3 linked regions of the Mytilus edulis genome follow. The protein of the gene in region 1 binds, or shares a complex with, the protein of each later gene. Links are inferred from orthologs where the notes say so. Each region holds a gene or a part of one and is shown in the gene's direction. Other genes may lie near its edges.

Evidence for each region.
Region 2: DNA polymerase delta catalytic subunit-like (region 1) and DNA polymerase delta subunit 4-like share a complex: the UniProt entries of both Homo sapiens proteins name them as parts of the tetrameric DNA polymerase delta complex. The link is inferred for Mytilus edulis from reciprocal best matches to the Homo sapiens genes POLD1 and POLD4.
Region 3: DNA polymerase delta catalytic subunit-like (region 1) and DNA polymerase delta subunit 2-like share a complex: the UniProt entries of both Homo sapiens proteins name them as parts of the tetrameric DNA polymerase delta complex. The link is inferred for Mytilus edulis from reciprocal best matches to the Homo sapiens genes POLD1 and POLD2.

The regions. Positions count from the first base shown.
Region 1 is NC_092350.1:57,670,622-57,681,463, reverse strand, and holds the start of DNA polymerase delta catalytic subunit-like, read left to right. Parts: upstream 1-6,253; 5' UTR 6,254-6,311; intron 6,312-9,172; exon of another isoform or gene 9,173-9,205; intron 9,206-10,431; 5' UTR 10,432-10,460; coding exon 10,461-10,513; intron 10,514-10,842. UniProt on the Homo sapiens protein: As the catalytic component of the trimeric (Pol-delta3 complex) and tetrameric DNA polymerase delta complexes (Pol-delta4 complex), plays a crucial role in high fidelity genome replication, including in lagging strand synthesis, and repair.
Region 2 is NC_092349.1:58,948,075-58,958,799, reverse strand, and holds the start of DNA polymerase delta subunit 4-like, read left to right. Parts: upstream 1-6,506; 5' UTR 6,507-6,612; coding exon 6,613-6,700; intron 6,701-9,582; coding exon 9,583-9,675; intron 9,676-10,278; coding exon 10,279-10,390; intron 10,391-10,725. Other genes in the region: transducin beta-like protein 2, read right to left, coding at 746-949, 6,089-6,212. UniProt on the Homo sapiens protein: As a component of the tetrameric DNA polymerase delta complex (Pol-delta4), plays a role in high fidelity genome replication and repair.
Region 3 is NC_092352.1:36,392,162-36,402,601, forward strand, and holds the start of DNA polymerase delta subunit 2-like, read left to right. Parts: upstream 1-5,951; 5' UTR 5,952-6,028; coding exon 6,029-6,254; intron 6,255-7,462; coding exon 7,463-7,584; intron 7,585-9,057; coding exon 9,058-9,181; intron 9,182-9,591; coding exon 9,592-9,712; intron 9,713-10,440. UniProt on the Homo sapiens protein: Accessory component of both the DNA polymerase delta complex and the DNA polymerase zeta complex.

The DNA.
Region 1 (10,842 bases):
TTAGGTTCTTTGATATGCTGAGTCTAAAAATGTACTCAGATTCTTGATTATTGGCCCAGTTTTCAAGTTGGTCCAAATCAGGGTCCAAAATTAAACTTTGTTTGATTTCATCAAAAATTGAATAAATGGGGTTCTTTGATATACCAAATCTAACTGTGTATGTAGATTCTTCATTTTTGGTCCTGTTTTCAAATTGGTCTACACTAAAGTCCAAAGGGTCCAAAATTAAACTTAGTCTGATTTTAACAAAAATTGAAATCTTGGGGTTCTTTGATATGCTGAATCCAAAAATGTACTTAGATTTTTTATTATGGGCCCAGTTTTCAAGTTGGTCCAAATCAGGATCTAAAATTATTATATTAGGTATTGTGCAATAGCAAGTCTTTTCAATTGCATAGTATTGCGCAATGGCAAGAAATATCTAATTGCACAATATTGTGAAATAGCAATTTTTTTTTAATTAGAGTTATCTTTCTTTGTCCAGAATAGTAAGCAAGAAATATCTAATTGCAAAATATTGTGCAATAGCAAGAATTTTTTTTAATTGGAGTTATCTTTCTTTGTCCAGAATCAACTTCAATCTTTGTTATATACAATATACAATGTATATTCACTTTTTACTACCAACTGATAAATTAAAATAATCTTTACCATTCAGTGATAACAAGCAGTTTTTTTACATCTTATTTCCTTATCTTATCTAAAATGTTTTTAGATAATGTATGTTGGACATTTGCCAGACATGACTATGATGTCATTTTCTATTTTTATTTGCCAATAACTTTATGTAAATAACTTCATTGGAAATTTGCCAATATAAAATGTTGCTGATGAAGTTTTTTTTATTGATTTATACAATAAACAATGTATATTCACTTTTACTACCAACCAATCTGTACCATTCAGTGATAACAAGCACTTTATTTTACATTTTAATATTTTATGATGTATTTAAAAGAGTAGTTATTATTGCAAACTCCATTAGAAATTTGAATTGATATCAGTTTTGGAAAAAGGGAAATGGGGATGTGAAAAAAGGGGGGGGGGTTAAATTTTTCTCATTTCAGATTTCATAAATAAAAAGAAAATTTCTTCAAACATTTTTTTGAGAGCATTAATATTCAACAGTATAGTGAATTGCTAAAAGGCAAAAACAAACTTTTAAGTTCATTAGACCACATTCATTCTGTGTCAGAAACCTATGCTGTGTCAACTATTTAATTTTAGATTTAAAAAGTTTGAAGAAGAAATCTTTAATTATAAAATTTGTAAAATCTTGACATTTGTTTTGTGTAAAAAAAAAAACCATGTAATGTCAAAAATTTGATCACAATCCAAATTCAGAGCTGTATCACGCTAGAATGTTTTGTCCATACTTGCCCAAACTGTTCAGGGTTCGACCACTGCGGTCGTATAAAGCTGCGCCCTGCGGAGCACCTGGTTTTAGTATCTACATCTGATTCATGCCACCTCTAGAAAAGACCCACAGTTTTTGTCATGGGAAAAAAATCTACATGTTATAGTACATAATAAAATTACTACGTGTAAGATAGAGCAAATGAAAAAAAAATTCCAAGTTGCCATCAGTAACATCATTTATTTTTGAAATCTTCAAAAAAACCTCATAGACAGTTAAGCTGACCACAAATTAACAAAGTTGTGTGCTTTCACTGTACTTAGTCTTGTTTAAAATGTAGGCCAAGGTTACCTAACTATATTGTGTTTCTTCTTCACTTCGAATGGTGTATCAACTAACAAGGTCCTGAATATGCCTGAAATATTTGCCACTGGATGTTAATCTAGCAACATTTATTATCAATCTACATGTATATGATATGCAGATACTCAAATTTAACATTCTTAGCTGTATCTAAAAACTAATGTTTGGGGGACGAATTGACTGTTCTCCCTAGCCTGCTACCTTCGCTGAGGTGATTGTTAAAATATTATGAAAAATTAATTGTGGGAGACTTTTTTTTATGCCAAACCTAAGGGCAGAATGTTTTTTTTTCTCGGTTTGTGCGTCTATTTGTTCATCCGTCTGTCTGTCCCGCTTCAGGTTAAAGTTTTTGGTTAAGTGCTAGGTCAAGGCACTTTTTGATGAAGTTGAAGTATAACTTTAACACTTGAAACTTAATAAGCAACACGACGGGTGCCACATGTGGAGCAGGATCTGCTTACCCTTCCGGAGCACCTGAGATCACCCCTAGTTTTTGGTGGGGTTCGTGTTGTTTATTCTTTAGTTTTCTATGTTGTGTCATGTGTACTATTGTTTTTCTGTTTGTCTTTTTCATTTTTAGCCATGGCGTTGTCAGTTTGTTTTAGATTTATGAGTTTGACTGTCCCTTTGGTATCTTTCGTCCCTCTTTTAGTACACATGTTCTTAATGATGTGATCTTTCTCAATTTATTAATTTTTCAAATTTGAGGATTGACCCCAAGGAGATGTGAATCGTCAAGCATACAAACAAAGAAATACATGTGCAGATAGTACAGTGCACGAAAGGGAAAAATTAGATTAGAAAAAGATTGAGTCTACAGTAAAAAAAAAACTGACTCCAAGAAGCTTAACTCATTTGGATATTCGAAGGTTCTAACAACACCATACTGACTGCACGAAACACCTCAGTATCCGAGTCCCTTTTTGAATATCAATACTTAAAAGATTTCTAATGCGTTTCGCAAACGTTTGACTACATTACACTTAAATTGAGGTGCAAGATTTCATATAAAAGTCTAACTTATACGTCGAAACCGGACCTAACAATGCCAGCAAAAGATAATACTCAGTGGTGGATCCAGAAGGGGGTGTAGAGGGCGTACGCCCCCTTTTTGTAAACTGATTAATCAGACAAGACTTCGAGAACTTTGCCATTTCCCGTGTATTTATTTTTTATGCGACAAGTCTTTACTTATAATGATCTTTTTTGCTGGTATTTACTGATTATGTCAAACTCATGTGATTCGCTATGGTGGAGTTGACCAGTTCGCCGTAAAAACGTTACTCAGTCGTTTCAGTTGAAACTCAAATTACAGTAACACATGGATAGACTGAGGATGACAATCATGACATGCATCTTCAAAGCAAAACAGGATTGAGCAAGAACATATTGACTTCTATTTCACAATTCCACGAGACAGAAAGTTATACTCTATTACACTTTCATGTTAAAAAGTTCCACAGCAATATTTTTTACCTACGGAAACATGTGTAACCCCAAACGCCCAAGCCTATTTTAACTAGAAATAACATGGCTGAATGATGATCCCCAAACAATAATCTTGTCCACTTTTTTGCTATTAGAAACGAAAATTTCCAACAGAAATATGTAGCATTGAATAAACATGATGAATAAAAAAAACGGGCGTATTTTTTGGGGGGCGGGGGTTTGCATGTGTGACTGGAATGTCTGTTTCGCCGAACTGATATATTAATTACTTTTTTCAAGACCAAACTGCATTTGGAACCCCTCACTTCCCTTAATTTTGTTGTGTGAAACATATCAACCAAACATTTGGATAAAAATTGCTTGTTTGTCTTTCTTAAATCGAGTCGGTCGTATTGTAAATTCCATCGAATAGCCCGGTGTATATCTGGTTTACAAGAAATCTGTGAGGTTATTCTAACTTAACATACAACAAACGAGAATTTTCCATGTCTATTTTTTACTGACAAGTCCCACATGTAATATAGCAGTACATAGCTTTGGATCATGCATACTATCATTTTATGATAAACAATTAATAGGGAGAATACAGCATCAAAAATGTCCAACCCTTACACTTTACAGCAACTATAAAATAAACATGCCAAAAAAGAATCGTTTAAAATGTGCATTTTACACTTATTTAATGTTTTTAGCCCCCAAAAGGTCCCAATTTTTTTTTTTAAATTTCGCCACCCCTTTCTAAAATCCTGTATCCGCCCCGGAGAACAGTCAACAAAACAGAAATCTAAAACTGAGAAATACACCACCAAAAACCGGGAGTGTTCAGGTGCTCCGGAAGAGTAAGACGATCCTGCTCCACAAGTGACACTCGTCGTGTTGCTCACATATCCATGGCCAAGTCTGTTGATAAATTTGATTTGGTAGGCCACATTTTTTGGAATAGAGAATCATGATTGAGGTTACAACTATTGGAACATATCCGTCGTCATTTGTGGAACAGATATTCCATTAGTAGACCATAACAGTTTCATGAGTTTGTCTCGCATCGACTTTTTCAGTTAAGAATCCGAGTTCAGATTTGTCTTAAAAGGTTAGAAATCAAACTCACAGAATTATCCACATGTGTGTGATCAGACTGGATTAGATTCAAAAGATGTTAATCTACATTACTTATTTGATAGCGTTTACAGTACACCTATTTGATACAGTCAGAAATTGACCCGTCAAACTTATGACTTTCTACTAATTTAAAAGGATCTCTTGTTGTTGAAATTTTTAGGTAGGTGTAAGATGAAATATTAGATAGGTCACAGTTCATGGGGGGTGGGGTGGGGGTGGGGGGGGGGGGGGGGTAGGACCTTTATCGGGACTCCGGGATCGGGTGTTTTTAAGCTCGGTATTACGGGATTGACCCTTTCGGGATCGAGGAATACTTTTTTCGAATTTCGGGATGTCGGGATTTAAATTTATTTAAATTCGGGACCTCGGGATTTCGTGTTTTTAAGCCCGGGATTTCGGCATCAGGACCCCTCCTACCTCCCCTCGTTAATGTTGCTAATATAAAGGTTTCGCTTATTTTCACAGATGCGATCTTAATTCAAAAAGTGTATCGGCAAAAAAAGGGGGAATATGTTATAGAGTCGATACATTTTGCTATATAACATGTGCCGAACGACTTTTTATTAAAATAATCTTTTTTTACGCTGTTTTAGAAATCAGAATTGTATTAGTGTGGAATTATTGCCTTCTCTTACTCAATTTGCCGTTGGTTTTTCCATTTGCAAAATCCATAACCGTGACATTTAGGAATCGCATATAAAACGCAGGTGACAGACTGAGTCATAACATATGTTTTCATTTTATTCACTCAATATTATTGAAGCGTATACAACTTTTAGGCAAGATGTAACTTATTATTTTGAATTGGCAACGAACCACGTACTATAGTTTAAACATAGACTTGTTTCTGAGATTCTTAATTTGGGGGGGGGGGGAAACCCAACGTGTTCCTTTGAGATAAAAAAAGAAGTAAAAATAATGTGTTTCTGATAAAATTGAAAACAAGAACAAAAAAGTTGAATTAACTAACTGATAAAACATGTTTTTATAAAAAAAATGGAAAATATAGTAGCCTGCCCTGAGCAACTTGAAACACAATATTCTCCCTACATTTGATGAATGACCGATAACTAATTCAGAATATAAAGTAAATACAATCTAGGATCTAAAGATGGGTTGATGTATCAATCTCAGCTTACATGCACTTGTCTTGGGAATGTACCCCAGGCTTAATTGATGGAAAATACTGAAAAGTATAGGGACATTATGACAATTTTCTGAATAAAAACTACTGATTCAATTGACGGTAAAATATTATTGATAAAAACAAGAACACATACAATCATAAGTGAACATTTTAAAGTAATATGAAGTTATATTAACTAAAATAAAAATCACAAAAATTGTACTAAAAAATAAGATATATATGCCATGATTCTTTCACCAAGCACCAGGGGCGGATGCAGGAATTTTCGAAAGGGGGGTGCTAACCCAGGGCAAAGGGGGGTGCAGGGGGGGGGGGTGCAAAACATATGTCCCGATACAAATGCATTGATCGGCAAAAATAAGGGGGGGGTGCGCACCCCCGGAACCCCCCCCCCCCCTGGATCCGCCACTGAAGCACCGTGAGCATTCCCAGTTTTACGACCTCCTCTTTCAGACGCAAGGTTAAAATGAATAAAAAGATCAAATCCCTCGGAATAGTATTATCATCAGGTATAGCAGAAATTTTAATTGGTAAGAGAACTTGCGTTTTGCCCTTATAAAAAATGTTTGGTTATATATAACTTTCTCTTGTTCTACAGACAGTTTATAGTTAGTATGAATAGTGCATTTACATAATATGTTAGAAACTGTAAGCTTTGTAATATTTGTACTGTTTGTTCTTTGTGAGGGCCTCAAGGTAGATTAGCGAAAGCTAATTGAGTCACCCTCTGTAAATAAAGTCATTACTTACTTACTTACTTACTTACCCTTTCTGTCTATTTTATTTTAAAGTTTTGTTTGGTCTTAATTTGTATCGCAGCCTTATTTACTTCCGGTTATGATTTCCCGCTTTATTTTTATTTTTTGATGACGACGGGTAACTTCTATTTAATTTTATTAGATTAATAATATTTTGTTCAATCTTATTTGTGATGATATTTTTGCAAATGGAATATGTCATTTCAGTTATCAAATGTTCAGTTTAAAAGACCAGACGATGCACTGGGATAACTAGACACTGACATCTCTCAACTGATAAAATGACTGATTTGTGGTAACTTTCAGTTTAGCAACAGACAGTAACGAGAACGACTGAGTACGAGTAGTCGTAATCACTTTTAGATACACCATGTAATACGTGTAACAAGAAAAGATTAAAATTAGTTCGTCCCGATCTGTATTATATTGAAGTCTGCCTGTAGTGATTCACAGATCTATGACTTTTGTTATTTATTTTGTTATCCAAATCCACAGTTATAAACAAACACAAAAAACAAAACACAACATTTGAAACTACTTAGCAAGACAAACTCCAGAAAAACAGAGAATCTAAGGATGGGTAAGCAGGTGTAGCTGTGGATTTATTACAATTTTATTCATTGGAGGGTGGGTCTTTTGGGATCATATTTATGTTAAAATTGATCATTGAAAAACGTCTCCCAGGGGCGTAGCTGCCGTTAGGCACTTTAGGCAGGTGCCTACACATATTTTTTTCACAAATATTTTTTGTTATTTAAAAAAATAATAAACAACGTTATCTGTAGATGAAAGCCGGTGAAGTTGTCAAAACTCTTTAATTATCGAATGTCATGTGTACACTAGTCTCTCGTCCTTAGACTAGTGAATGGAATATTGGATAGAATTGAATTTTAATTAGTTGTTGTTAGTTTTCAACTAGCTTTCCACTTTGTCTTCACCCGACTTGCCAATGTTGGTCGTCTGTTTGGCTGTGCAGGATGTATAAATACGCAGTCACGTTTGGTCAGAATAGGGACATTTAATCCGATGCCTAGTTGTAGAGAGAATGCAACTCTTTGAGGAATTCGTAGTTGTTCTACTGAAAGGCAAAATTTCTGCTCCTATCCAATAATCCCTCTTTTTCCAATGCATGGCATTTTTAAATTTCCAGACCTTCGTCCTGGACCACACCTATTACAGGACCTAGCTCCAAGTGTTATTTATTGTAAATAAAAATTTCAACGGTCCTGAACTTGCATAAATATTTGACACTGGATGTAAAGAAATCAATCAATCAACTGGTTTCCTGTAATTTTGAGTACTCAAATCTGCGTGTAATGGCCACAATTATTCAAAATTCCTAAGCAGGTAGGGATTTTACAGTAGAGGATATAAAGATTACGAATTTCTTGAATTTTGTTAGGCATTGACTATGTCTGTATATGTTTGTGTGGCTAGGGTGAAGGTTTAAAATTCAAAAGATTGATGGTTGATGTCTAGCCAAAAGGATAGTTCTATTAGTGTTAACGTTCCTTTTTTTTTTTAATGAAGGATCGTCAATATGTACTATAATAATTTAAGTTAAACGTATATATCAATCAGAACGGAATAGATATGATAATACCAAACAGGGTGTACTGCTTAATTAAAGGGATACGCTGATTTACGCTGGGCAATGCATTTTGTAAATATTTTTTTTATATTACGGATTGTACTGCGTTATTTAATTCACCAGTCAGATGTTATGGTACATTATTCATAATTCTTCGAACTTTTCATCATGTATATAATAATTATCATGATTAAATAACCAGTAAATTTAATATTTTTGTACATCAAATTTTGCAGCTAAAACGCTGAAAACCGTTTTCCGTCGGGGGGCTTCGCCCCCCTGAACCCTCTACGCCCTGGACCTGCTGGGGGCCTTAAGCGGTCCCCACACCCCCTGCCGATTGGTGCCTACAGTTGACTGAATACCTAGCTACGCCCCTGTCTCCAGATTCATCACTTTCTGGATTACATTGTGTGTGTTATTAAAATAAAATATTCATAATTAGTAATCATTTCAAGTATCCTCGATTTTATAGAACAGATAAAAGAAGAAAAAATATATTTGTGGTGTCCATGGGGGCCTGCGAGTTCAGAAAGTGGGGTGTTAAAGACTCTTCCTTTCTGTTTTCTTTAGATATTTGGACTCTAAATCTTCTGATTTGTTGAATTAATACCTTAAATATAACATTTAAATCACATTTATAACGATAAAAGACAAAACAATAAACTTTTCGGGTGTTCGATGGTGAACCACAGGCACTAGACGTTCTGTCAATAGCATGAAAATATTGGCAATGGGAAGAAAATAGTGTCCATATTGGCAATGGGAAGAAAATAGTGTCCATATTGGCAATGGGAAGAAAATAGTGTCCATATATATTATATATATGGACACTATTTTCTTCCCATTGCCAATATTTTCATGCTATTGACAGAACGTCTAGTGCCTGTGGGTGAACCTACCGTTCATTGGATACCAATTTTTGTGGTTTTCGTGGGTACAGGCCGGCTAGGTGAATCAAGAATTTAAATGTGCAACAAAATATCAATTCTTTTAAAATTGTATCCAGACATTGGCAGAACCACAAAATAACATATCCATGAAAATGCAAGGTTCCTGCAATCAATGAAAATTGGTACACACAAAAATAAATAAATCGATAGTATAAAGTCTCAATAGTATAAAGTAGTGTTAATGTTTAACATAAGAAATTTCATTATTTTTAAAGAAAAAAATTTAAATGAAGGAGACACTGAATACTCCAAGACTAATAATTTTCATTACGTTCAGTGTGAGCCTGGGCTCCGTGTTGAAGACCGTACCTTGACCTATAATGGTTTACTTTCATAAATTGGTACTTGGATTGAGAGTTGTCTCATTGGCACTCATACCACATCTTCCTATATCTAATTAAAACTACATTTTACATCTTTATATTATTTGTAGTTTGAAGTGAAGAGTGTTAGAGAACACATGTACAGGTACCGTAATGAGGGCAATATATTAAACTTTATGATATTATAGTACAAGGAAGAATCGAGGTGACATTTCTACATGTACATTGAATTTCTCGTTTGTCAGACTTTCAAACAATATAAGATTATTTACAATGTTATTTCAGAGATGCAAATAGTTTTTTTTCCCAGTCAGACATTGGGGCCTACAGGGTACCAAGTTTTGCCAGACCCATCACATTGCCAGACCTATATTTTCACTCAAAATAATCTGTGTTTGTAATATAATATAAAAAAAACTAAAAAGGCAGCCCCCCTCCCCCTTTTCCATTTTACACACCTCTAGATGTAGAGTATAAAAATATTGTCACTTTCATCCCAAGAAATTCTTAATTTTTCATGAATAAATGTAAGCAGTTAAAAAAAATGAAATTCTTATTGTCTATAAATAACAATGAAATGTAACTGTTTCCAGTTGAGGGGTTTCCCAAATTTTCCCACCAAAAAGCACATGGCTTTCAACAATTGTAAACAAAGCATTCAATTTGTGATCATGGATTACAGCTTTAATTAATTGAATTTGGATATAGATATTCAACTTAAGGTACAGTCAAGCAATGTTTTTACTTTTTTCACTTTTTTGTAGATTAAAACTAATTTGAAAGAAAAGTTTAGAAAATAAAATAATCTTTGACATCAAAACAACAGACCATATCTGAAATATATTGTGAATATTCAGTGACCCATATATTTTTTTAACTCTGCTACGGAGGTCATAGTTACATCATTTTTCAAACCAATGGTGTGTATTCTCTGTTACAACTAATCAACTAGTACTGCGTTTGATATAAATATTTCAATAAATTAACGATGTCAAACATACAATTTCAAAACTGAATTTCTGCAAAAGGTTTACTTTTTATTTGATAAGGAAGGATATTTGGACGTTATGTCAGGCTATAATATTTATCATTAAAACAGTTTGAACTCCCGATTTCTATTATGTAATCGAAGCCTTGAATGTTGTTCTATCTAATCATGCAACATGGTTGTAAAATCACAATTTTATAAACAAAATAATCTGTCGGGACCAAAGGGGAATTAGGTTTTGGCTGACCCAAGCAGACTAAAATATTGCTGGTCATCAGGTCCTGCACAGCAACGAGTTTTGCCAGACCTTCAGAAATTCTGCCCCTTAGGTCTGACAGGTCCGACGATAAGTTGCATCTCTGTTATTTTTTATTATTTTCCAGGCCCACAGTGCAACTAAGAACAGAATAAAATGAACAAGAAACCTTCAAGTCAAAATGGAGTCCCACCATCTAAGAAAGCAAGGTATTTTTAAGATTTTTTATGGCAAGCAAACAGTACATCTGTTGACTAATTCTTAATACTGCATCAAGTACAGACATATTGTGAACATATTATACATACCTTTTTTTGGGAGAAGACATTACTAAGTTGTAAAACTTGTGTCTTAACCATTTGTCATTTTGGACAATAAAATATGTTTAAACTACATCAAACAATGTCTAACAAAGATCTGCAATCAACTCTAAATTTTATTTTAAAGCGAACAAAAAGATTAGGCTCATTGTTTAATGCCTTACGGTGACCTACAGTTGTTAATTTCTGTGTCATTTGGTCAATTGTGGAGAGTTGTC
Region 2 (10,725 bases), on another chromosome or scaffold:
AATCGTCATTTAAGTTTGTTGGAATTTTATAGATATTACATTGTCTTCTTGACAATAACAGCATATTAGTTGTTATTGCATTTACTTTTTTTTTGACATCTTATGTATTTGAATTTTTTTTCCGTCAAATAATCGATCACAGATATCATGTGTTTCAAAACGTTAAACTGTAACAATATCCTGAAATTCATTACATGACGTCACAAAGTATATGGGTTTTTAGATATTCTAAAAATAACCGTGCAATATGCTTTTTGCAGGTCAATATGCGTTTTGCTATCCGCCGTTTTCTCTCTACCTTCGAAAATATAGTTTAACATGTGACTATCCCTAAACGAATCAAATTTGTTAAAATATATGAATTAATAATATTATGCGATATCATTAATCACTAGACCAAATATAAAATCGTTTCTTTATAAAAAGGCTGAGTTAAATTTAGACATAATAACCCAATTACAAGTATGTGTAGTTGTGGTTATTGGACCAATGGTGGTAAACAAGGGGCCTTACAATAGCCTCTTCTTTCATGATTGACAAGTTTATATGAATAATATACAGAAATTTTCTGATAAATGATGGCCATAAAATTTATGTCCACTATCTCTGCCCTCTATGTCTTTCATTATACATTTTGTACCACCTGTGAGCTGATACACAACTCTTGCACAAGGTATTACTACGAATCTAACAATCAAATCACAAGACAAGGGAACTGTTGATTGCCTCTCAGTGATAAATTTACCTTCAGCAGTTGAGATTAAATATTTCCCATTTGGACTGAAGTCAAAATCAAGAACTGGGCTGCTATGTCCTCTAAGAATGGTAGCCAGCCATGCATGACTAAATGGTACATGCTGTATTCGTTTGTGTCTTTGAGCTGGTTTTGACTTCTTTGTCTGTTTTTCAGTCTTGTTCACTTTCTTTTCTTCAGTTCCTGTTTTCTGTTCTGAAATCAAAAGATAGTTCACAATATTGACCATTAGTAGTTTAACACAATACTATAATTTTCCTTTCTTTACATTTCTTTGATTACATAGATACAATGCAGGGCTTCCAAAAATAATTTGAGCCACCCGTACATTTTATATCTGATCTCGATTTTAATCCCTTAAGACTAAATCACAAAAGGCAATTATGGTAATCAGATGGCCATCCCAATGATTTTTGAAAAAACGATATTAAACTTTACTTTGATATGACTTTGATGTTCTGACGTAAACTGTTAAATTGGCAGTGCATCATTCGAAGTGTGCGCAAAGCGTGATCATATCTGCCCAACTTAGATTCTTTATTTGTGCCAAAAGACGTTGTCAAAAACTTTACTTTCTTTTTTAAAATCACATTTTCGTAATACCGGATGTTTACTTGACAGTGTTAAAACATGGACCAGAAACGGATATGTTAAATCAGTGTACGTTTACAAAGCATGACTGAGCGAAGAAGCTCTTTCCACGTTATTTCTTCAACAAAATACTTGAAATGAACGTAAGGTACAGGTACTAAAGATAATTTTTGAATTTTTGAAGAAATGTAGGATACATAATTAAATTTCCCACCTGTGCACATGCGCACACATGTTCTAGTTCATACAACGTAGTTCTGACGATTGTTTCATTTAAAACCTTATTGAATTTTTCGTCAAATCATGTTTATAAACATATTTCTTAGAATTTTATTCTTTTAGCATGTTTAGACTACATTTTTGTAAATCAATTAGATACAAACCGCTGAAATGTAAGAAAATAGTTTACCTGTCACCTGAACAGGTAGATTTCAGCTAACTAATTAGCCTTGATTAAAATTAGAAAGTATTTAAGTAGAGGCTGTTTTGATAGTAGTTAATCATCTGTCACTTTTATGACCGGAAATGTGTGGCTGTTAAAGGCAAAATGTTGGGTCAAAAAGATTGTGTTTATGTTAAAATGAACGTCTAGTAAGAAAGCCATGAAAACTAAAAAGTAGATGATCGTTTCATGGGCAATATAGGAAAGGTGTACTGACATAAGTAGTCTCTAAACACATTAGCTCCAAATGGAGCTTTCGTTAGTAGAAGCCATATTAACTATGTGTATCAGTGAGAAAAATGTAAAAGCATAAAAATATAGTATATATACCAATACACATAATTAACAGCGCCTGGTGATGTTTTATAGCCTGTTACGGTAAACTTTTCAACATTATACGGTAATCATGTGACCTGATGATATAACCATATTTGGGCTTTAGCATTGGGTAAAGGGTGTTTAAATAATTTAAGAAGTACATGGTAATCATTTAGTCTTGATCTTTGGCTTATGATACACCTAAATATCAAGTCTTGGAATAGTATGTCATGGTAGTCATGTGATCTTGATATTTGGCTTATGATACACCTAAATATCAAGTCTTGAAATAGTACTTCCTAGCAGTCATGCAGTCTTGATCTCAGGCTTATGATACACCTGAATATCAAGTCCTGAAATAAACACCCTTTACCCAATGCTAAAGCCCAAATATGGTTATATCATCAGGTCACATGATTACCGTATAATGTTGAAAAGTTTACCGTAACATGTAAAGAAAGTTTACTGTAACATGTACATTAGCTAAATATAGATAACTGTAACCATGGAAAATCCCAACTGAATGGCTAATTGAACCTTTTTAGATATCAACAAGATACTTATTTATCCACTGGATAACTTTGATCCGCCGGTTCGCTCTGAAATGCCGGTTAAATCTCAACCACTGGTTAACTCAACCGCGGGTTAAACAAACCGCCAGTTAAATCTTAACTGCTGGATAACTCAACCGCCGGTTACCATATCTATATAAATAGGGTGCAAACATTAATCCATCATTCTGCCTCTGATGAAGGTCCTTTTCGGACCGAAACCGGTCAGGCTATAAAACATCACCAGGCGCTGTTAATTACGTGTATTGGTCAAGGGTCCGGAAATTTTTTCACCTAATTTCGGTCATTTTTGGATAACTTAAAAGTTGGTGCCCTTTTTCAAACAAAGATTGTGTGTATGCTCATACAGTCATACTCGTAGCATCAAGGAACTTGTTTAACTGTTGCACCGCATTTACTTCAGAAATTTCCCTACTATTTTCCTTAAAATCTTGAGCAATAAAAGGAAGGCAACAGTTTAAAAATGAAATGATTTTAATGACTCAAAACGATAAATTTCTCAAACTTCGCTTACGTTTCTTTCGATTTGAAGACAAAATTATAACCGGATGTTTTACGACAATAGTAAAACGACCAATTACGGACTCATTTCCGGGATTAGTTTTGTTTATCAAATTCACAGGAAATCGTCGGCTTTTTAACTGTTTTACCTTTAATAGTGTTTGAATATTAATTATAATAGTTGGACTTGTTTAATTTAGCATGAAATCATTTTGAATTTACGATTTAGTGTCTTTTGTGGAAGAGAATTTCAAGATTGCCTATTAGTAAACAAAGCACATGTGTTTGTAGTGAAACAATATTTTGTTCTACGTAAATTAATTTAATTTTAATTTAATTTTAAATCAGAATTGACAATTGTCTAAGCTGAGAAAAGTAATTAAATAATGCAGACAGTTGTTATGAACTTTTCATTTATTAGTTCTGAGCTTGTGATCAATAAAAAATTTAATTAAAAACACAGGTAAAGAGTCTTAGATTAGCGATCATTAGCCAATATTTCCCAGAGGCATTACTATAGTTATTAGGAGGGCCCTCAGGATTATAACACTTTACTGGAGTGGCAGTTTTATTACAGGAAAGGGATAACAAACAAAAAAAAGTTCAAAATGGCGATTTAGACAATGTTGGAAACTCGATCTCAACGAAATGAAATTTAATGACCGAAATTATTTCTGTAAAAAAATAAAATTTGTCCTAAATCCCAATTACTCATTTAGGACAAAATACTTTCAGTTTAGGTCAAGACTGGCATATATGACCGTTTCCGGACCCTTGGTATTGGTATATATACTATATTTTTAGATGATCGTTTCATGCTTTGTCCAGCCAGACTTTTACCGGACAGAATACAATTGTCCAAAATATATGACCGTTTTGGAAGCCCTGATACAATGTACATAAATTACTTTCTGTATTGCACAAATTCATATCATCCTGTTGTATATTGTAATGATGTGGCTGTATAAAATCTCTTCATAAAAGTAAAGGAATTAAAAGGGGGCGAAAGGTATTAGAAGAAAATTCACTCATCAATCTAAGGAATTAAAAGTTGCCTTGGTCATGTTGGTCTCTTATTTTCATATTCTTATTGATAGTGTTGTTTAACTAAATGTTGTTAAAAAAAACAATACAACCTGTCACCAAACTATGTATATATCTGCCTACCCAACATGAGGAAACTCTTCAGTGGTTGTTTTAAGTTACATATCTAATAAGCATATTTTTTTTATAAAGAATTTGACATAACAACAATTTTACATGACACTTCAAGTCACCTAGTCTTGACAGGAATCCAGGTTGGTTCACCCTGATTCGTGTTCGCCCTAGTACCTGTTCGAATGGACCCAGGGCGAAAGTGTAATCAGGGCGAACAGACCCGATAGTCGATACCATCATGACAGTGACCAAAGTTAAGGTTCATCATACCAAATGGACAAATATGGCTGTATTTTCACCTCAAAAACTACTCTGTGTACAGACTTACTTGTGCTGATTGGAAAGTTTTAAGGCCTAGCATCCACTAGATATATAAAAGTAAAATGCATTTTATATTTAAGAAAGATAAAATCTTTCTTGGTTTTTGATGGGCATTTTTTTCCTTTCTGCAGAAGGTGTAAAAATAAACAAACACCTGAATTACTTTGATACTGTCCACTCACTGACTCAGATAAACTCTTTTTTTACTCACCTGTAGTTGTGAAGATACCTCTTGTCCATGTCAAGTAAGGACAATCAAAACAATACAAACCCATTTTTTACCTGAGGGAGCATCTCAAAGTTGTACCACAACTTAGTTAATTTTCACACCATATGCACGAGGGGAATAAAATGCCCGTCAAAATCCAAAAGAAATTTTATCTTTCTGAACATGCTGAAACACAAAATGCATTTAAATTTTATATATCTAGTGGATGCTAGGCATTAAAACTTTTCCAACTTCACAAGTAAGTCTGTACTCAGAGTAATTTTTTGGCACGTTTATACAGCCATATTTGTGCGTTTGTTATGATGAACTTTAAAAAAAGTATCTGTCAACATAATTTTAATAATTTGCCCTAATCTTGCACAGTGACTGTGTAACAGCCACTATGTTCCGTCAGTTACTCTGTTCCGGTTGAACTTTTCAACTAGTTACTTTATTCCGAGTGCAGTTGAAAAGTTCCGGAAAAAAGTAGCTATTTGAAAAGTCTCGGAACAATGTAGCTAGTTGAATAGTTCTGGTGGAACAGAACAACTAGCTCCTTCGGTCAGAATGTTGCCTTCATAACGGAATAAGTTCTAATTTATTTTCATACATTAATCTGAAATTGATATTTTTAAAAGTACCCATATGAGGAGGAACTTTTGGGCCAGTTTGTTAGTTCCGGTTGTGACTGATTTGCCAAAGAGGAACTTTGCGACTAGTTGATAAGTTCCTTTTGACTTTTGTAATCAGTATCTTGGTTCCACTTTGAAAGGTTCAAATATAATATCTTGCGCTTTTACTTTACACCAATTCTCCAAATGGAACTTTGTGACTGGTTGATAAGTTCCGCTGGAACTTTTGGGCTAGTTTGTTAGTTCCGGTTTTGACTAATTTGGCAAAAAGGAACTTTCTAACCATGCTAACTGCTTGATATGTTCCGTTGGTTTCAACTAGTCACTTTGTTCCGGGAGAACTTTTAAACCAGAGGAAGAACAAAGTAACTAATTAATAAGTTCCTTCGGAACTTTTCGGCTAGTTCTTTCCAACGTCGGAACAAAAGAGCATTTACAACTGTGCATGAATAATAGTTTTTAAGTAAGAATAATGCACTTGAACAGTTCAAATTTCTTCTCAATGAGTATAAAGCTAAAGCTTTAATGGTAAAATTCCATATTTTTTTGTATTCTCAATTTTATCACTTAAGCCCAAAAATAAAATAATACCATCTTCATCCTTTTTGTCTGCACGTCTTCCGACACTGCATAAAAGAACGAATAATAGGACTACAGCTCCAACTGCAGCAGTAACTGCTAACGCCGGTACTGAGTTTTCTGCAGAATCCGCCATGCTGATGAGTTGGAAAATATTTTTCGATATTCCTCTTACTTTTTCATATTTTGTGTGGATATCGCCGAAGATTTACGATCGTTTCAATTTTAAAGATTTTAAAATAAAAATCGAATTTTTGAAATTATTAAACACAATTTTATAAAAATTATATCCTATTCATGATAAACATAATTCAATTCTTCTCATATATAATATGTTAACATGTAAAATTTTAAAAAAAAAGTTAAAATTTTCTTTTATCTTAAAAATAGAGATTTCACCAATTTCGTTTCGTCTAATATTTGGAGCATTAGATAAACCGAGATAAACATTACCTACTTTCGCTTTTGAAGGAAGCTGAGTTTGCAAATTAAAGTGTCAAGTTATAACCTGTAAACATAACCTAAGAAGCAGAACAATGAAAATGGCAACACGTTCTTTCATTACCAATTCTTTCAAGTCTGTCAAGACTCCTAAAGGAAAAGATAAAAAGGAACCAACAAATGGTATTTTAAAAGCTGAATTTATATATATACGTAAAATATATTGATAATTATAAAAACTAGAAGCATATAAAAAATGATAGACCCCTTTAGGGATTCTGACTGCAGAGCAATTTTTTGATTTAACCACTTTGAGAGTGACCAAATCAGAAAATGGCTACTGACTCAGGGGATCCCAAAAGGGATTCAGAAATGTAATCCAACTTAGAAATTGGTAATTTTAACTCATTTATTGTAATACACCTTATCGCTATGTGTCCGCCATTACTGGACATCACACAAGTTCCTGTAAAATGTTGACATGAAAATACAAAATATCTGACACCACAATAGAAAAGTGGTTGTTGTATGATGTCAATAATTCAAGCAGGACAGATTCTTGGGTAAATGGGTAAGCTGGTAATAGTGTATATGTACACATGTAATTAACCATATAATTAAAATTGAGAATGGAAATGGGGAATGTGTCAAAGAGACAACAACCCGACCAAATAAAAAACAACAGCAGAGGGTCACCAACAGGTCTTCAATGTAGCGAGAAATTCCCGCACCCGGAGGCGTCCTTCAGCTGGCCCCTAAACAAATATACATGTATACTAGTCCAGTGATAATGAACGCCATACTAATTTCCAAATTGTACATATATATTGTTACATACACAATCTAACAAGTTGAGATATATAAACACCAAAAGATGGTGACAATTCTAAAAATGAATAACTAACATTAGGAAATGAAAAGTCACCTCTTTTATCATAAATACTGGTATTTAGCTTCCCATTAAGGATATAGATATCAAGATCCAGGAAAGGGCAGTGTTCATTGTTAGTATTAGCATGGAAGTATTATATTGACAGGAACTCTAACAAGCGGACTTCAAACGTTTATAGTGCGATGCCGCAAAATCGTTAAGTATCTGTTATAATGAACTTGACATGTCTTATGGATGCATGGGTTCCGATCAATTTTTTGGAACCTTGTGAATGATTGTAATTACAGAACATACCGAAATAACCAGATGTGTACTTAATTCAAGGAAATGACATTTACCGACCATGTGAATGACAAATATGTTAGTTTTTACAGGATTTGCTGCTTAAAAACAAATAAAAAGAAAATAAACGAAATCCCGCGACTGTTTTCACCAAAAAAAAAAAAAAAAAAAAAAAAACTGAAGAGTAAAAATACTCACAAGCCATAAACATTTCAGTTTAAGTTGCAATCAATTTTAAAATAGTAAGATTTTTATTCATGAGAGAGCCATTGACTAAACATGCGTAACTGTTATATACATGGTAGGCTTGAAAATCATAAAATTCTCATGTAAAGTAAAAGGAAAAGTTTTTATCAGTAATTATTATCGCGTTTTACTGCTAACTTTGACAAATATTTTAATAAAGTGTTTAATGAAAGAATTTCAAACAAAAATTTAATCCAAAAGTTGGCCGGGGGGACGGGGTTAAAAAGCTTTGATCCGAAGAAAATATCAAATATTTTGATTTATTGTTTACTAAAAGTCCAATGGCAAATATTTCATGCAATTAAACAAGAAACAGAAACATAAATTGCTTAGCATACAGTGTAAGATGTCACAGTTCAGAACTGTTAAGCTTTTAAACACATAAATAAATTCTAATTTGGTTTCCATGATAAAAAAAAATTAAACTGCATAGGGCCCATCATGGTGATCGTTCTTTAAATGCATCCAGAAATATTAAAAGCCATCCTTAAAAATAAATCTGTCAGACGTCAGATCGAGTAATCTCGGACTAGGTTGAATATTTAAGGTTGTTTACAACTTTGGAATTATCATAAAAGGTGTAACAATTCATCTGCATGTCTCGTAACCTGATATTGCTATGTAGAGGTCATCACATGTGTGTAATTATTAACCTCTTTTAGTCTTTAAAACATATTTGATAAATAAGTTAATAACATTTTACGATAGAGAAAACCATAAATATTTGTGTAACACTCGATAAAATTTTACAATCTTTAAACTAAAATTTGAGTTATCTGGCACCATCTGGCACACTACAAGCGCATCACATTATTTTCTGTTACCACTCTTACTTCAGAATCATGTAATTTTCATAATCGGATATTTCCTGTTTTCCAAGTTCCAATGATTAAAACATACTCAACAAAACTAAAAATAAGCTTGCCCTTTTTCCGAATGCAGTTAATTTTATTATGTCATTCTGTTAAATATGGACCAATTTTTTCGATCTTTTCAGCGTTGTTCTTCATTTATTGAACGGAAACAGGTGTTGTTGTTTATGTGGCAATTAACAAATAACCACGGGAGTTTCCGTGTTTATTTACATTGGTAGGTAGATAAGACAATCAATATTAAATCAAGTGATAAGACCAGCTTCAGTTAAAAGAACAGGCGAAGGTGGCATCACAGATACCCCACAAAGGAGTTATCACGAACTTGTCAAACTGAGTCGGAACCTTTTATTTTCTTAAAGAAATCAGTGGGATGGGAATGTGCTAATTTTTCGTTGGAGTTACTGTCAATATAATACTTCCATGGTATTAGCTTTATTTAAGGTCAGGTAGGCAGGATAAATCTCTTTAGTGTACATACTGAAATCATTGTTGAGATCCAATATCACCCAAAGGACTAAAAGTGTTATTAAATTTTTGAATCAGATGTTCTTTCGATGGTCTATGCTGATTTTAGTCATAAATTCTAACTCATATTAATACAGAAGTATATAAAGTGTAATTTTCCAAAAAGACCAGTTGAGATGAAAATATTAACAGCAAAAGTTGAACATGTACAATTACAAAAATGTCCAGGTATTAAGTTTTTGTTGAATGATATGAATTTCATTGATTTATTTTCACATGTGCATTATCTTTATTTTGTATTCCAGATGGCCATCCAAGCACAAGTAAAACAGATGTAGAAGATGAATTGAAAATACTGAGGCATTTTGATGTCACATTAGAATTTGGTCCATGTTCAGGTATATATTGTTTTATAGAATGATATTCCATCATTAAACAAATTCATATTTGTTTGCCCCTGAAGTGGAGAGGGTATTTAGTTTTACCCTTGTCCAACTGTACATCTGTCCCTACTTTCATACATCCCGAAATTGGTTCCGTTCTCTATCTTTAGCTTGCCACAACCAAATGTTATGAAACTAATACACAATACTTATTACCACAAAAGGACAGATAAAGTTTGAATTTGGGTGGGGTTCACTTTTACCTTTCTAGAGTTGTGCCCCTTTACCAAAACAAATTTTTCATTTCTATTCCCTAACTTCAGTTTGTCTCATTCAAATGTTATGAACCTTATACCCAATACTTATTACCACAAACCACAGACCAAGCACGAATTTAGGTAGAATCACTTTTACAGTTAATGAGTTATGACCCTTTATAGTGTAAAATACATCATCTGTGTCTCGTGGAAAATTCCAATCTTATTTATTTTAGGTAATTTCACTCATAGTCTATTTCATGAAAAAGAATATGCTTCTAATATAGCTTTCATCATCCAATGTTCAACATACCACATAAAGTCAATAAAGTTAACCTTTTACATACATTGTACATTTTAGGAATAACAAGAATGGAAAGATGGAAGAGAGCAGATAAACACGGCCTGAATCCTCCAGTCATTGTAAAGGAAATCCTAGATAAACATTTAGACGATGAAGAATACACAGAATGGTGAGATATATATAATATTGTCAGAAAAATAGTTCATATATACATGATATATATAATATTGTGAGACAAAAAAGTTCATATTATAGGGTTATTGCATGAATATTAGGGAATAGAGTAAAATTTTATATTGCACGAGCTTGCGAGTGCAATATATGTTCTACGAGGGACAATATTCCCCAATATTCATGCGATAATCCTTTTATTGAATAGCAATATAATATTTGTAAGTAAAAATTAGTTTAAACTAAGATTTTGTCTTGATGACGTCATGAATTTTGAAGATTTATTGCACTAGTGCAATATTGGAACTTATTGCACGCTAACTTTTGGTTACT
Region 3 (10,440 bases), on another chromosome or scaffold:
AGTAACTGTTAAGTGTTTTAAAACTCATTACATGTTACATTTTAAAAGAGTACACACAAAAATTGAAACCTGTACATAATTTTGAAGTTAACACTAAAACCATGAATTTCATTCCTGATCTCTGCTTCCCAGTTAATGAATGATATCAAGATAAATGTCTTCTTGCCAGAGTTTAATTTTTTTAGCTTTAAAGTTAAATACCTTGAACATATTTTCAATTTTGTTATAAAACTTGAATGTATAAAAGTTTTTTACTAACTAAATATTGCTTCAGTGAAAGAATTTGATCTAAATTGTGAAATATGCAGTATATTGCTGATACAGGATAGTGCTAATTTTATTTTATTCTTCTTGTTGGGCCATCTTTTATGTCAGCCTTATATGAATTAGCAGGGACCTTATGGCATTGTTTACTAACTTTTTGTCTCACTCAAACAAGTTGGGGAGGCAATGCTAATGTATGCTGTTAGACGTATTGTCAACAATGCTAGTGTTTATGATTTGGTCAGCTTAAGAAAAGTGGTAGGTCAAAGATATTTGGTAATGGTAGTAGGATTGCACATCTCATATCAATTAAGATTAATAGGTCCTGCAATCTAATGATGGTCCTTTGGCTTGAAACTTTTGCATAGTTAACTTGGTAAAATTTTTGTTTACCTAGGTCAATTTAAACAGTGCCACTTATAAGAAGTCAATAATATTTGGTATACAGTTGTGAAGAGCATTCCTTTCTCATTTCCACAGAGATTAAATAGTGTTGCACCTCCAATCCCTGAATGTTTAGCATAATTCACATATTAAGGTACTGCCATTTTGATATCAACATTTGCATTATACATTGTATTATCAAAATAACATGCAGGAGAGATATATCTATGTGTCAACAGTTTTAGTTATCAGAATGATTTCTTGGAGTTTATCAAATCTTTCAAATGGGAGAAAGAAATTGAAAGTTCTGCAAACTTTTTTATCTAGCTTATGATGATGCAACAATATATGTCTGTTGGATAAGTTAAAGATGTTTATATTGAAGAGATATTTTGTTAATACCTTATTTTCCATATTCCTTGTACCTTTATTTAAAATTTGTTGGTTTTTAAAAAGAAGAATCCCTCATATTTATATCAGGAAATGAAAAAAATATAATTTAAATTGGGTATAATAAATATACTAAAACTTCCAAAAATCATTATACACATGTAATGGCAAAAATTTCTTAATAACCTTCATGAAACAGCTGATGTTTTTCTCCTTGTCTTTGGCAATCTAATTCCAACAATGATTGTGAGGTAAACAATGTATAATAATTTTACCCACAAATTTAGTATAGTGATAAGTTTTCTGTTAATAACTGCTGACTGTTAGAATTAGTTTAGTATATAGAATAAAACCATAATTGTGTTTTTTTTGTTATTTTTGTTACACAATGGAGACAGTTGCAATATTATAAGAAAACTCTGCCTCATGTTAATTGTTATACTCAGTTATGTTTGTTTATATTTGTATCATTAGTTTGTTATATGGTAGAATTATAGTGATGTAACTAGAAAGAACCAAGAACTGTCGTTTCATATCAGTTTTCATGGTCTGATTATAATTTGTAGTCTCAATAATGTTTAAGATGGTACCTAACACCTTGACTAAAATTAATTTGACTGGTTTAATTTTCAAAGAATTTTGACAAAATATTCACTTGGACCCTTTGACAAAAATATAAAAATTAAAAAAAACTTGAATCACACACTTATTGGATATAGACAAATGCTAAAAATGACCATTGAGAAGCTAAAAATTTCCTAACAATAGAATGTTATTAAAATGTTCAGCTGAATTTTACAGAGTTATCTCCCTGTAGTGTTATGTACCACCTTAAAGAAATTATTGGTAATGTAGTACAATACAAATTCAGTTGAAAATCGAACTCTGTATTTTCATTTAATGAATAAGCATGAATTTAGAGAGTAAAAGAATATAAACACTACAGGCTTTAAGAATTAAGAAACAAGGGAGATAATCATAGAAATTTTCTGATGGAAAAATTATTTTGCAACATTTGATTCACAGTTTTTCTCTACAAAGTAGTACGAGATATAGTTGTTAGAATTATTTTATTTAATTCAGTGAAATTATTAAGAATAGATTATAAGGTAATGAAAAGATAAAATTCCAATATAATGAGGAACAACAAAGATATATGATAGATATAGATCAATGATAATGTGAATTAACAATAATGCGATAATTGGTTGTGATCTCAGTAGCTTTCATTTGTTTTATAATCATGCCTTGCCATGGTCCCTTCTCCTATGGTGATTGAGTCTTAGAAAGGAAGGAATCCAACAGATTTCAACTTACAATCTGGTTTCAAATGTATTACTGCAAAATATGATGAGAATACTTTAAAAATATATATCATGAATGACCTTTTGTTTGTGGATATTAGTTATTAATTTTTCTTGAGAATTTATGTTCGGATTTCAGTCGCATAAATAGATAGAATGTCAGAATTTTTTTATCTCTTAGAATTAAAATTATTTATGGTTTCAACTGATCATGACATCAATAGCAACACAAGAAGATCTGTAGTAATAACAATATTTTCACCGAAAGTTATGTTTAAGAAGAGGGAAAACATCACAAAATAGGATGATTTATTTTAATTTATTGTCTGGAATCTTATAACATATATATAACATATATATATATATATATATATATATATATATATATATATAAGTAATTTTTATCCGATCACATTTATAATAGACATTGTACATTGATAATTTATTTGTATATACCTATATATCATTATCATGTATTCATCGTCATGGTTAAGGACATTCATTGAATGTTTAATTACATATGTTGATATTTAGGCTTGGTTTGTCTTCAATTGTTATTTTTTAGCCTTTGTTTTTTTTTCTTGTTTTTTGCTTGTCACATTTAAATGAAATGATGTAACTGCTTGCTTCTTTTTATTTTCATATTTTATTAATAGAAGACAAAATAACTGCCAGCATTATTGTTTTCACTATCGTATAAACTGCATAAAGAATCTAAAGTGTCATTAAGATGTAATATTTAATATTTGCTATTTATCAGATCATAAAGTTATGGTGTCATAAAGAAGTCAAAATAAGTCAATCAGTAAAGTAATACAGCCTTTTTCCATTGAGTGTGTCAGTAAAGGTAATATCTTTGGTTAGCTAGCTTGTTAGCTGAACCATGAAGTCATTATTAGGTCAGGTAAACTACCCTCCTTTAGAGGTAGACTAGGCCGACATAACCAATTTATCTGTCTGTAGGACTACTTTGAAAGGAGGGAAGTATACCTAACCTAATAATGACTTCATGGTTCAGCTAGCAAGCTAGCTAACCAAAGATATTACCTTTATCTACACGCTCATTGCAATCAGCTGTAAAATGAATACTTTTTTAAAAAGAACTTGAGCATTGAATAACCTCCCTTTACTCTAGTGTGTAATGTGTTGTTGATTTTTTTTCATAACAAGTAAAGATTATGTTTCTTTATCCCTTTATCTTATCTTATAAATCACTTTATCAAAATGTATTTAATATAAAAATTAAATAGGATAGGTTTGATGTTATATTATGATTGATAAGTATATCGATTTGTGTCAGCTATTCATCTGTAGACAAAATATTTTTTTAAGAAATATTGAATCTACAGTATATTGTAGATGCACATTTTAGAATCTTGGTAACACAAAAATTGTCTCTATACAAAACTCTGGAAATATTAACTTTGAATGGTCTTCCTTTACAAATAAATGGTGTGAATGTGTGTGTGTACGGAGACAAATGTATTAAGATTATCAAAGATGTGGGTTTTTTTCTCTCTCTTTAAACAACTTCTTTGCAATGACATTATTTATTCTTTATAGTTGTACATTTCTTTAAAAGGTATTATTTACTGTAAATATAAAAATGTTGATTCTCTTGATTCTTTTATTCAGAAAATATGTCTCTATATGTTATCAGAATTACAGTTTTATAAATTGATTGAAGAGGTTAAACAAAACTAAAAAATGTGTGAGATAAGCATATTGCTTTTCCTCCTTGTGTAATCTTTGACAAACCTGCAAATAGCATTATAAGTCTAAAAAATGTAATTCTCAGGTACAGTTTTTCATGATTCAAAAAGAACTCATTGAATATTTTGAATTTCCTTGTCTTTCAAAAAGTAACTTTCGATTGATATGATGATGGATCTCTATTTTCTACTTTGGACACATAATTTTTGCTTTCTTTAACTCAATGAAAAACAAAATTGATTGAAAGGACATATTTTTTGTTCTTGTTTCCTCTTTAAAGATTTTTTTTTCCAGTTTGGCTGTAAGTAAGTTTTAATGGTAATTTTATAAGGAATGTGTTTAACTTGATGTTAACAAAATCATGAGTTTATTTATTATTTTGACACAGAATTGATCTACTCTTTCTTCTTTGATCTTCTTTGTATTGATATATTTGTTTAAATTTTGACATGCATAAAGGCACAAAAATAAAACATAAACAATTTGTATTCTGTTTTGATTTATTTAAGCCATAGAAATATTGAATATGAAATAAAACATAAGAAGATTACGAGGAATCACCAAAAATATTAGGCAGAACAAAAGACCACACGAAACACAAACATCTGACTCCTCTAAAAAAAAATAATAGTGTAACTGGTTCAGATAGCCTGACTTGTTACAATATACAGTGGGATTAAACCACTTTCACATATGCTCAAATGCTGCTATTTGCATATCTAGCACATATGTTGTAAAAATTAAAATTGAGATTGGAAAAGGGGATTTTTTTCAAAGAGGCAAAAACCCGACCATAGAGCAGAAACCAGCCAAAAACCACAAATGGGTTTTAAACACAACAAAAAAATCCTGCAACTGAAACCTCATAATAAAACACAAAATGAAAATGTTATTCAGTATTTGAATAAGTTAAATGTAGTATATGTTTCAGAAAAGTGTCCTGTGTATACTCCATATCTCTTGTTTCTAGTCTCAGTGGATTTTATTATAATTTGATAAGAAAGGTTAAAAGAGTTAAATGTAGCAATATAAGATCATGTTACAAAGTGGGAAAAAAAAACTATGTAAGCATTTGACTTGTGATTATGTATAGACATTCTCAGATCTGCATTGACATCACAACATGTAACTGACCAATCAATGATTAGCATTTGTGTTATGTAAACAATGTTGAGAGGTGATGCGGATAAGAATCCTCTAGATTTTCCATAGACTTCAATGCAAATTAATTTAATTGATATATATTGACACCAGTTGAATCTAGTACTTTTACCAACTTAATATTGTTAAAGACACTATATAATGTCTCTATTTTGATTTTAATCATACTATATCCTCTGGTTAAAAAATAATAAGCAATATAAATAATCAGTTATCACCTTCAAATAGATGAAAAATCTAGAGAAATCCTATCTGCATCACCCCTTGAAAAATTTAAATGCCAGGATGTCCGGATCTGAGAATAAGTGGGAAGAGGCATAGAGGTGAAAAATTTATAAGTGGAAACAGTTTGTACAGCCAAAAATTGTTCCATGAAATTTCTATAACACATGCAAAAAATTCAAAAACTTGGGTGTAATAATATGGGCAACTGCACATTATGACAAACAGTGTAACACAGTATGAAAGTTATCAAGAAAACAGTTTTAAGAGATGGCTTCTCACTGTGTCCTTTGCATATACATTGTAGGTCATTGTATATGCCAAAATGGTTAATATTTCCTATATATTCCTAATAATGATGAATCCTCATAATTATCAATTACTTAGTAAACAAACAGGAATTATTAGAAGGTGTATAATAATCTTGAATATAGTCGGACTCATTTTTGGACGTTGCATTCTTTGATTTGCTTGATTCATTTTTGGGGTAAGTTGTCAAATCATGCAAAGAATTTACCTTCACGTTAAAGAGTTCCGCTGGCGGGAATGTTTTCAGTTTCTAGAGTTGTTATTCTTATAAGCACACAAACATGTTACTTAATCCCGAAAAAGGCACTACAAATGTTGGAAAACTACTGACTGAACCGACAGAATCATCTGATGCAGATTATGTTCGATCTGATTGTAAATATGAAGATTTGTCGGAAAGATTTCGATTGAAATCAAAAAACTTTTCAAGACAATATGCTCATCTATATGCTGAACGGTTGTGGAGTATGAGGGACAAAGTAGTGGATGCTGCTAAATCAAAGTGGGGTAAAAAATAACTTGAACATGCCAGAGAAGCCACCATTTTTCCTGTTTTTTTTCTCCTTCTGAGTTGTTGTTTTTGCTTTGTTCTGTATTTTTGAAACGCTTTTCACTTTCATAAGTATGCTTTTGGTCGTGCAACATCACAACATTAATTAATATGTATATTCACGCAAAGCTTGTTGTAATTACTGCAGGGGGTCTAGGGCCAAGTGGGGAAGCTGAGGGGTAACTGTCAGAAGCCAAATCCTGCATTCTTGATTTCTCCTGGCAGATAATTTAATGATTTCAAACACCATTTTTTTTTAAACAAAGTTAACCTTTTTAAATAAAAAAGAAAAAAAAATCAAATGTACATGTACATGATGTAGAAATTGAACCAGTTGACATATTTTCTTTCTACTTTAATTTATATTTCAACAGAAAAGTCGTTTGCAAAACCCATTCTGGTTGGATCTTTGTACATTGTATTTACTCCCTTTCGCCAACAATGGCCAATACTAGCAGAAATCCCTGTGCAGGTGGTGCTCATCATTATAAAACATTGTCGCATGTTGACTTACACACGGGAATTGACATAGAATTATGTGGGGGAAACAACGATGTGTATGATTTTTCAGGCATATGCATATGAAACAAATAAAGAAAACGATAATAGTTATCCAATAATTAAACACCTCTGAGAAATCAATGTCTAACCTTAGTTATACACCAGAACAAAATTTCATATTGCCCAGGGAACAACTCCATGATGTGTTTCACTTGCCCATCTTAGATTTTACTTGCTTAGCACATATATATAATTGAACCCTGGGTATAAATCAAACTTGTATAAGTGCAGAACAAATGGACAATGCAATGGCAAGTAATTAACAAGCGACATAAATCAGTATACAAAACAACAGAACTATTAAACTACATGTATAGACTGATCAACATAAACCTCACCAACAGGGGGGGGGGGGGGGGGGGGGAGGTCTCCTGTGCCAAAGAAAGGTAAGCAGATCCTGCTCCACAAGTGGAACCCATCATGTTGCTCATCTCAGTGCAGACTGGGTTGCACATTTCTAATTCCAATTTTAAAAGTCTTGGTTCAATATTTTTTTAATCTTGAAAAATCCATGAATCAGTTTAAACAATTGTTCACCATTTAAGTTAATCTAGATTGGATAACTGTATATGAATTCACATGTATTTTATATTTTTATTTGTAGGAAAAGATGTAAATATAAAGAAGTTGCATGAGTTGCAAAGTGATGAGAAATGTGTTATAATTGGTACCCTATTTAAGCACATGGAACTTAGACCTAGTATCCTGAAAGAATTAAGTGAAGAGGTATAATTGACTTGATTGAATTCAAGTACATCAAATTCACTTTCAAAACTTAAACGTGAGAATAAACGTTGGTAATGGCATATAATGTAGCTAGTTGAATAAAGTTTTGTGTTTTAGAAAGATGATCAAAACTGTTGTCTATATTGTACATTTGTTTATATACATGTAGGTACAGACTCGGAGGGTTTCATTATTGTTTAAGTGGACTGGTACGTTTCTGATTTTATCAAGAAATTTTCTATGTTCTCTATGAATATCTTGTATGAAAATTAATTTCTAAATTAGGCAGTACCAAACTCTTGTTAAGCAGAGTAAAAGTATGGTTTAGTACAAAGTACTGCCTCTTTGGTGTAGGTCCACATACAGCCTTCAACTATGAGAAAAGCATATGTATATTCTATGTTGTAAGCTTAAAAAGGCTCCAGCATGACAACAAAAGAGAAAATGAACTGTCTGATTTATCATGTTTATGCTAAAACAAACGAGAGAAAAATATAGCAGAAAGCAATCATTGACCACCACTGAAATACAGATTCCTGATTTTGGACATGCACTTAAATAATATGGCGAGTTAAAGGTGATGGTGAGCAGTCATACATTGTACCTCCCACAACTTGGTACAGAGGTGAAACATTACTACTTTCAAACAAACAGTTGGAAAATGCTTGACTCATCAGATTACCACCAAGCTTAAAAAATGTGCCTACTTCTGTCAAACGGCTTGATGGATGTTAGTTGAAGCTCATATTTAAAGCGGTGTATTAAATGATGTATTCCCTCTGCTTCAAGCTAAAGGGGAGATAATATATATTTTAAGTATTTCAGTGCAGTTATCCTTTTATGAGTTCATTCTTAGTTCTAGTTACTGTAAATTAAGGTTACTTTTTCATGTTGTTAGACAATATTTCACTGTTGCCCATAAATGCAGCAAAATTTGAATAACTAAAGAATAACTAGGCGAATGATACTATATACATTTTTTGAAAAGCTACATATTGCCACAGTAATTATATCATACATTTCATCACTGAGCATCAAAATCTGCATCAGCAGAATGAATTGTATGCAGAAATGAAGACAGAAATACTATGTACATCAAGTAGGCTTTTTTTTTAATTTTTGATACACATTTGCTGAGATTGAATACATTATAATTAATATCTTTGTTTTCTCACAGTCAAATTGAAGTGGGTCATGTTGAGACTTGTATTCCAATCACTAGTCCAATGGAATTTTAAGATATACCCTTACAGGTTTAAAATACACAAAAATGAGTACAGTGCAACATGTGTAATCCGACACTGGGGGACCAGAAAATAATATCAAATTAAGTAGGGTGTTGGAATACTTAGGTTTTTTCTGCGAGGTAAGTCATATTTTGGGACCATGAAAATGTGTCGGTTAAAGCAGGATGTTGCAATACTCAGGTGTCAGATTAGAAAGGTTACACTGTATTGAATGTATTTTTTTCAGCATAATTTGATGCCTCAACCAATTAAGTCTAAGTACACAGATAGTAATGATAAATTGATCCTTGAAGATGAGTTACAAAGAATTTTATTAATTGGAAAACTAGATATACAGACTTCAGTGACAGGTATTTAGAAATTTAAATGCTTGTGAATACTTTCTGAGATAGTTGTAGGAAAATAAGATGCCAACTAGCAACTAGCAGGATCATTGAATTGTGAATTAACTATTTAGTTTATTTTTGAAAACAGTTTTAACAATTTTAAATGTTAAATAAAAGTGCATTGTTGAAAAGATAAGAGCAGTTTTTGTAGTTTGTTTTTTGTGGGTATACTCTTGATGGCAGGTATACAGTTGTATAAAAGATTCAACTTATTTATGTTATCACATCCAAATTCATCCAGTTGCCCAATCTGTGAAATGTGCATATTGCAATCTATTATTTGACCAAAATATGTAAAAAAACACACCATGAATTACATTAATACGTACATGTAGCATGATCAACTAGTTAAAATATTCACATTGTTTATATAGGTGTAATTGTTGCATTGTATGGTGTAGAACCAGACGACAACAGAGGAAAGTTCCAAGTGGAGGATTTCTGTTACCAACAGTTACCAGAACAAATACAGAGACCTATGTTTGAACATGACAGGTATACCAACTGACTTAACAAAAACTGGTACAGAATAAAAATGAGAACAGAAATGTTGAATATGTCATAGAGACCACAACATGACCTAAGAGCAGAAAACAGGCCACCCATGGGTCTTCAATATAATGAGAAAATCCTGTAACCAGAGGCGTGCTTCAGCTGGCCCCTAAAAAAATGTGTACTTGTTCAGTGATAATGGAAGTCATACTAAACTCTGAAATATATATATAAATGAAGTAGAATTAAAAATCATACAAGACCAACATAAGGCCAGAGGCTCCTGACTTGGGACAGGCATAAAACTGCAGCGTGGGTTAAACATATTTTTTTGAGATCTCAACCATCCCCTATACCGCTAGCCAATGTAGAAAAAAACACAATAATACACACAGTAAAACTCAGTTAAAAAGTTCATAAATAAATTTTAGTCAGATTTAGGCAATCTCAGATAATGGTGTAAAAATCAACTTGGAGAGTACTTTGTAGATATTTGATTTCATGATTTAACCAAATTCAGCATTACAAACATATAGAAAATTTGTTCTTGGTTTAACATATTTATTTGTGGTTCACATACCTGTACCAATGAAATCCTTGAAAATTGGTATCCAAGGAATAAAAATGAATCCACCGTGGCTTAAACAAAACATTGGAAAAGATTTCAAACATTCAATTGAATATGGACTTTATTTTGTTTGAAAAACAGTGCAATGCTGATAGTACAAAGG